Linked DNA regions of Arabidopsis thaliana. The protein of the gene in region 1 interacts with the protein of each later gene in a biochemical or structural test. Each region holds a gene or a part of one and is shown on either strand. Other genes may lie near its edges. The genes, in order: EIF3C and AT5G61200.

Region 1 (3,921 bases):
AGTTAACGTGGTTTGACCTCTAATCAGATTCCATTTTGGGTATCAAGATACATAGCTGGGGGAGTAGGGGTTTCGTTTCCTACTGACCAACTATTCAGAAGTCTTATAGTTACTCTGTTAATTCCTTTAATCATTGGCAAGGTGAGACAATCTTTCTGTTTGTCCTGTTCTTGCAATGATGAATCAATATAAATTCTGATATACGGTACAATTGTGAAAGCTAAATTTGCAGAGGTGGTTGTTGCCAAAAGATATGTGAATACTTTATTGGAAATTATAATAGGGTTGTTGCGTGGCTCATTTGAAAATGAAGAAAGCTTACTCTCTATTATTTGTTACTTTCCCTGATGTTTATATGAACCTTTCACAAACAGTCATTTCAGCATGAAGTTCTATCACTTGCCATTTTGCACACGTTTTTAAAATCGAGCTTTGACATACTTGGTTTCTTCTGTTATAGGTTATTCGAGAATCATTCAAAGGTGAGCGCCATTTGTTATATTTTACTTCTCTGGTGAAAGTAATTGAATACATACCATTTTAAATAGTTAGCAGTCACTTTATCGTGACAATGGATCAAAATGGTTCTGTTTATAATAAATATATATGCTTATCGCTGCCTACTTTCTGACCTTGTTGAAACTCTTGTTGAAATGTGTGATACAGGTTTCGCAAACTTTGTTGACAATAACCGTAAACTCTTTTCGAAAATCAACGCAATCTGCCTCAGTTTGGTAAGATATGAAATGTTAGTCTCCCGTAATTTCTACACCCCTTGAATAACTTTCTGAAGTCATATCCTTGGAGTTTTGCTTTGTTGCAGGAATCTTAAACTTGGCATTTTAGATGCCTGTACTTAAAACTTTCTCTTTTCTTGTATGATAGCTTGGGATTTCAACATTCCGTGGCATTGATGTGCCAATCCAAAGCTTTTACTAAATTGCAAAAACCATATTTGCAGTCACGGTTATGACTTTGGAGATAGAAGGACTTAATACTTTTTTCCTTTTTATAGTTTAACCTCTGCTTCCCTGGCTACTTCAACTGGTCTGACTTTGTTATTGCATTTACCTGGTTATTTTGGGAACTTAATAGTGTTTATTCCATGATTAATATTCTAGGTGCCATGGATCCAAGTGAGCAGGTCAAGATCACTGCTACTATCCGTTCAACCTAAGGTTTTCCTTGCAGCAGTTGGCATTGGAATGTACGCATTCTTCTTTTAACATATAGAAAAGATACCAAGTGAAGAAGCTCATGGAAATATTTGGCTTGTGTGTTAGAAATGCGGATTACGTTTGACAGAAGATTCTTACGTCTTCTTACAGATTGCTGCATCTTTCTCTACTAGCATTCAATGCTGTTTCAATCCGCATCCTCTCCGGTCTTACAGGTGGTAGCAAGAGCTCCAAGGAAAACAGCACTGCAGTTTTGCTCGTTTCAAGCCAGGTAATAATAGAGTTTGCCTTTTAGAACCGATTTTGATCTCTTAAATTTGGGAGTTCTTTTCTTGTGGTGGCATAGAAAACATTACCGGTAATGGTGGCGGTAGTAGAGCAATTAGGAGGTGCATTTGGTGAGACAGGGCTATTGGTTCTTCCTTGTGTAGCTGCACACCTGAACCAGGTTACAAATTGTATTATAATCATCATGTACTTGTGTGCATAATTTTATAAATTATTGACGTAAATCTGGAATGTTACAGATCATGATTGATTCAGTTCTTGTCAACTTATGGCTCCGGAGAGGAAAAGATACTTCGACTAAAGTAAAGACAGCTTGAGAGAGAGAGAGAGAGATAGAAAGCAATGAAACCAATGCTGTGGAGAAGGTTACATCCTAAACACACTGAATGTCAGTTATATACATAGCAGCAAGACTGGGGATTTTGATATCTTTCCAATCACCAAAGCTTAGTTGATCATTGACCATCTCTCTCTCTCTCTCTCTTTCTGTATGTATATGCTCTAGAGATTCCGGTCGGTGTTTGCTGATCCAATTTGTATGATTTATGAAACTATGTAAAAAAAAAACTTGTATCTATATTTGAAAACATTTAGTCATTTGACGTTACCAGCGTACAAAGCAATTCATATGTAATCTGTCTGATAAGCAGCTAGGAAAGAGGACTAAGAACCGGTTCTTTTCTCAATTTAATTGAACTAACCATCACTACAATTTCATTTAGTCCTGGTTCGACCAATTCGGTTTGTAAATAAAATAAAAACCGATCGAGAGCGTTTTAATTGTCCTCGGTTTTCAGTTTCGGTATGGAAATAGAATCAAATCGAATCCGGTTTAGTGAGTAAATCACGAAACCCTAATTCTATATATTTTTTCATCTCGACCAAAATGCTTGGACGGCTACACACCATTTTTGTTTAGATTCGTAATCCTCCTCAAGCATCTCCTTCGCAAATCTCCATCTCCATCTCCATCTTCTGAATTCAGGTAATTTTGTTCCTCATCATCTAGCGTAACAAATTTTCGATTCTAGTTTGGTGTAGATTGATTCGAATCGATTCTAATTCTTTGTTGATACGAGTCTGTATCTGTGACACGATTGTTTCGTTCAGATTATGTTCTTCGAATGGATTGGTTTGTTTTACTTATAATTTCGTTCCTCTGATTCACTATTCAGATTTGTTACTTTTGGTGTATCAGGTTCTTGTTGCTTACGCTTCCAGCTAAAAAGATGACGTCTCGTTTTTTCACTCAGGTTTCCTTCAACAGACCTCTTGTTTATAAACTCTCTTTACCTTTACTTGCTTCAGTTTCTGAATGATTTTTACTTGTTATGTTGATAGGTTGGAAGTGAAAGTGAAGATGAAAGTGATTATGAGGTAGAGGTTAATGAGGTTCAGAATGATGACGTCAATAACCGTTACCTTCAAAGTGGTAGTGAGGATGATGATGATACTGATACGAAACGTGTGGTTAAGCCTGCTAAGGATAAACGTTTTGAGGAGATGACCTACACTGTTGATCAGATGAAGAATGCTATGAAGATCAATGATTGGGTCAGCCTTCAAGAAAACTTTGATAAGGTTAACAAACAGCTTGAGAAGGTTATGAGGATTACTGAGGCTGTGAAGCCTCCTACCTTGTATATCAAGACGCTTGTTATGTTGGAGGATTTCTTGAATGAAGCTCTTGCCAATAAGGAAGCCAAGAAGAAGATGAGTACTAGTAACTCCAAGGCTTTGAACTCAATGAAACAGAAATTGAAGAAGAACAATAAGTTGTACGAAGACGATATCAACAAGTATCGTGAGGCTCCAGAAGTTGAGGAAGAGAAACAACCTGAAGATGATGATGATGATGACGATGATGATGATGAGGTTGAAGATGATGATGATTCTTCCATCGACGGACCTACCGTAGATCCTGGGTCCGATGTGGATGAACCTACTGATAATCTCACTTGGGAGAAGATGCTGAGCAAAAAAGATAAGCTTTTGGAGAAGCTAATGAATAAAGATCCTAAAGAGATCACTTGGGACTGGGTCAACAAGAAGTTCAAGGAAATTGTGGCTGCTCGTGGAAAAAAGGGCACTGCTCGATTTGAGCTAGTTGATCAGCTTACGCACTTGACAAAGATTGCCAAGACTCCTGCACAGAAGCTTGAAATCTTGTTTAGCGTTATTTCGGCTCAGTTTGATGTGAATCCAGGTCTCAGCGGGCACATGCCTATCAATGTCTGGAAGAAATGCGTGCTTAACATGCTCACCATACTGGACATTCTCGTCAAGTACAGTAACATTGTTGTGGATGACACAGTTGAGCCTGATGAGAACGAAACTTCAAAGCCAACAGATTATGATGGAAAAATTCGGGTCTGGGGAAATTTGGTTGCATTCTTGGAGAGGGTTGACACTGAGTTTTTCAAGAGTTTGCAATGCATTGATCCTCACACCCGTG
Region 2 (3,921 bases), on another chromosome or scaffold:
AAGCATGTTGTCATGGTGAATCAATCAGAGGTCAGTTTCTTAATATTGGTAATTTGGTATTTTAATTTACAATTTCCAGTGTAGCAAAACATATGCTGAATATGAGAGTCTTAACTGTGGTAAAATATATAAAGAATGAAGCTTATATAGTTGCATCAGGTACTCATCAATGCGAGTAAGCTTGAAGAGAAAGATGCCCAAGAAAAAGCTCAACCAATAGAATCAATAGCCGAACCTCAGTCGCAGTCTCAAAACACTCAAGAGCATACCAAATTCTTTGAGAAGCAAAACGAAGAGTTGAGAAAGATTTGTGGCACTTTAGAAAGCAGTGTAAAAGAACCTCTTCCAAGTACTAAGGACTGGGTGGAGACTCTTAACAAACAGATTCCAAATGGAGAATTTTTCTTTGGTGACCTAAGATCTGATTTTGAAGTACCCAGGGAAGCAAGGTAATTTTTGCTAACTTGGATTTGCTTGCTTAGTATGTCAAAGATGCAATTATCTAAATGTATTCTCCAACTTTTGTCATAGTGAATGTTTTGATGGCATTGTCAAGCCTGTAAACCTTTCCAAAGGAGAAACTAAGCATTCATGGGAGGTAAAGAAGAAGAAAATCGAGGTGACCGTACGCCATGCAAGACCAGCTGCATCTAAACTTTGTCATCTTTGCGTAGTGATTTGTGATAGCCGGGGTTTGTCAACAGTTGTTTGTGATAACAAAGCTCATTGGCCGAACCAAAAACATACTACTGTAGTGACACTTACTTCATGTTCTACCTCTTTATCCTTGATCAATATCAAACCCTTCTGACTTCTTATTTTTGATGTAGGCCGCCTTTGTAGCCAGCAATGGTTCTCAGTCCAGCGTTTCAACCAATCCTTTGAAGGAACCAGAGGGTTTGCAGCCCGTGTGGTGCCAAGTCTGCCAGATCAGCTGCAACAGCAAGGTTGCATTTGCAAGTCACACATATGGGAAAAAACACCGACAGAACTTGGAATCACAATCAGCCAAGAACGAAACTATGTCTACTGGACCAGGCAAGCTTTCTAAAGATTATGGAGAAAAAACGAAGAAAGTATCATGCAAAAACCAAACCACATTTGATTCTCAACTGAAGAGTCAGAACCATTATACCATGGCGAAGGAGCTTGTAGAGGTAAATCTTACTATTTAGGTTTTCTTTCGTGAACTTGGAATCTGCTTTTAGTAATGAATATTACAAATCTTAGTAAAAATAATATCCTTAGGTTTGATTCCTATCGAAAGTGATGAAGTATATATTAGACCTTAACTAAAATATCGATGTAGAAGGCATTTGTCTCCGCATTTGAGCATGTCTCCGCATTGGAGCAGTTCAGTATTGTTGACTCAAGGACAATCCGAGAAGACACCGACCAAGAAAAAGAAGCAACAAAGGAGCAGACACTTGTAAAGATGGATGGTAATGGGTTTCGAGGGGCACCAGAAGATAAAGTGGAATTGAACCAAGAAAAACATAGAGAAGCACTGGAGCAGTTCAGTATTGACTCAAGGATAATCCGAGAAGAAACCGATCAAGAAAAAGAAGCAACAGAGGAGCAGACACTTGTAAAGATGGATGATCTTGGGTTTCGAGGGGCACCAGAAGATAAAGTGGAACTGAAGGAGAGACACACCGTATCTGAGAACTTGGTGCACCGTGTCTTCACTGAACAGAATCGAGAGTCTAGAATACCCAATGAACCGAGGTAAGAGCCAACATTCATGGGAGTGTATAATATGGTCTCTCTCTCTCTCTCTTTCTCTTGAATCTCGATCAATATGTGTGTGTCTAACTGGTTGCTTGGATTTTGGGTTACAGAGGATGTTTAGATGTGATTCCTGAGAGAGTAAAACTGCCACCAAACGTGAATGTGGCCAAGAATTTGGAAGATGAGCAGAAGCATAAACCCGAACCAAAAGCACAGGAAGCCGAAAACAAGTCTGGAGGACGCAAGGATCTTCCTGGAGAGGCTGCCAAAAGGGAAGAGATTAAGGGCCAAGCTGATAACTTTTGGACTCGCCTTTGGGGGAAAAAATATTAAAATAATGTGAATTGTTAATTCATGTTTAAGTTGTCAACAATGGATGTTTTCTTTTGAATGGCAGATTAACGTTTTATTTTGGATTGGCTTTTGCTTATTTCTTACTGTTGTTTCTTATATATAAACTTTACCTCTTAAAAAAGATTCAAGAACAATAGAATTTAGGCATTGTAGTATATAGGTTCTCTCAATAAATTGGGAAATAACGACCGGTTTTTCCAACAGAATTTTCGGCTTAGTCTGTAATGTAATCATCAAAAATTGCATTATTTGCTTTACGACTACAGCTCAACTGGGCCACCCTGATTACTTATCCGACCCGGCCCGACCCATCCGGATCTTCCTTCTCTTGTTTAAATTAAAGCAGATAAAAAGGAAACTGGAAAATTCAGTTCAAGTATTGTCGTCGGAATATTACTCTTCACCGGCCAGGTAAAGCTTTCCTACGACTATGCTTGTGTTCGTCGGAATGTGTTTTTCTTTCTTTTTCTTATAGTCTCTGGTCGCTAATGACTCGTATTCTTGGTCCAGTTTTCAGCTCTTGTGTGTAAATTTGTTAGTCTTTTTTAATGTCGAGTAATTGGGGAAGTAGCTCGCGAGATAGCTCGGGAAGTAGTTCAAGAAGCGATGTTGACAACTCGTTTGATGCTGACGAACTTTTACAGATTGGTTCAAGATGTATGGAGGTGAATCTGTTTTTCTTTCTCTATATCCTTTGTCTCAGAGATTGATGAAGTTCATATTTTTGGCTTTATGATCTCATGTTTTCATTGTAATTGTAGCTACGGAGAGAAAAGGAGATGCTTAGAGAATCTCAGTCACAGAGTGTTGAACTTGTCAGAGTATGTTCCTCTTGTGTGTTTTAGACTAGTGAATTGATTGTTCAAACTTTTTCTGAGATTTGTTGTCTTTTTTTTTTTTACCCTAGAGGTTGGAACTGAATGCGAATTCGTTGTCAGAGTCTCGTTTAGAAGATAAGAGAAGAATTCAGATGTTGGAGAAAGAATTGTTGAATTGCTACCAGGAGATTGGTAATGGAGAGATTCTCATGAAACTGAAATCTAGGCATATATTTTATATGAGCTAAAAAACACTTTCTTTGTCTTTCAGATTATTTGCGGGATCAAGTAAACTTCAGAAGCCAGGAAATGAACGACCTGAGTGAACATGTACTCGATCTTGAAGTCAGAGTAACTAAATCAGGGAAATTGGAAGAAGAAGTTAACTATTTGAGGGAGGAGTTGTGTTCGTCGAAATCTGAGCAGCTATTGTTGTTGCAAGAACTGGAGAGCACAGAAACTGAGCTACAGTTTTCTTTGTTTTCTGTTGAGAAGCTGGAGGAGTCGGTCTCATCCTTAACATTGGAGTCTCAGTGTGAGATAGAAAGCATAAAACTTGATATAGTAGCGTTGGAGCAGGCGCTCTTTGATGCTCAGAAATTTCAAGGTGAAAGCATCCAAGAAAACGATAAGTTAAGAGAAATAGTCAAGGAGCTACGGTTGAACTCTCGAGAGGCAGAAGAGAATGCTGAGTGTTTAGAGAAGCAAAACAAGGAGCTGATGGAGAGATGTGTAGCCTCTGAAAGGAATATCAAAGACTTACGTCAAAGCTTTAGAGGAAGGTTGGAAAGTGAAAGTGAAGCGCCTGTAAATCCAGATTGTTTCCATGACATCATCAAGAAATTAGAGGTTTTCCAGGATGGGAAACTGAGAGACAAAATGGAAGATATGGCAAGACAGATACTTCAATACAAAGATCTTGTAAAGCAGCTCAAGGTATTAGTTACCAAACAAAACAGTAGAATCAAAAATTTGGTGCCTTTTTGCAGCGTCACACATATTCTAACTAGTTAAACCA

Evidence for each region.
Region 2: the proteins of EIF3C (region 1) and AT5G61200 form a complex in vitro, tested with the Arabidopsis thaliana proteins (one study listed by BioGRID).

Annotation. Positions count from the first base shown.
Region 1 is NC_003074.8:20,835,595-20,839,515, reverse strand, and holds the start of EIF3C (eukaryotic translation initiation factor 3C), read left to right. Parts: upstream 1-2,240; 5' UTR 2,241-2,451; intron 2,452-2,641; exon of another isoform or gene 2,642-2,664; 5' UTR 2,665-2,695; coding exon 2,696-2,719; intron 2,720-2,807; coding exon 2,808-3,921. Other genes in the region: AT3G56160 (Sodium Bile acid symporter family), read left to right, coding at 28-141, 461-482, 667-734, 1,122-1,207, 1,329-1,449, 1,525-1,626, 1,706-1,783. UniProt on the Arabidopsis thaliana protein: Component of the eukaryotic translation initiation factor 3 (eIF-3) complex, which is involved in protein synthesis of a specialized repertoire of mRNAs and, together with other initiation factors, stimulates binding of mRNA and methionyl-tRNAi to the 40S ribosome.
Region 2 is NC_003076.8:24,617,823-24,621,743, forward strand, and holds the start of AT5G61200 (myosin heavy chain-like protein), read left to right. Parts: upstream 1-2,321; 5' UTR 2,322-2,496; intron 2,497-2,563; exon of another isoform or gene 2,564-2,595; 5' UTR 2,596-2,633; coding exon 2,634-2,750; intron 2,751-2,846; coding exon 2,847-2,906; intron 2,907-2,992; coding exon 2,993-3,095; exon of another isoform or gene 3,096-3,174; coding exon 3,175-3,839; intron 3,840-3,921. Other genes in the region: AT5G61190 (putative endonuclease or glycosyl hydrolase with C2H2-type zinc finger domain-containing protein), read left to right, coding at 1-30, 151-449, 532-751, 831-1,157, 1,310-1,728, 1,842-2,064.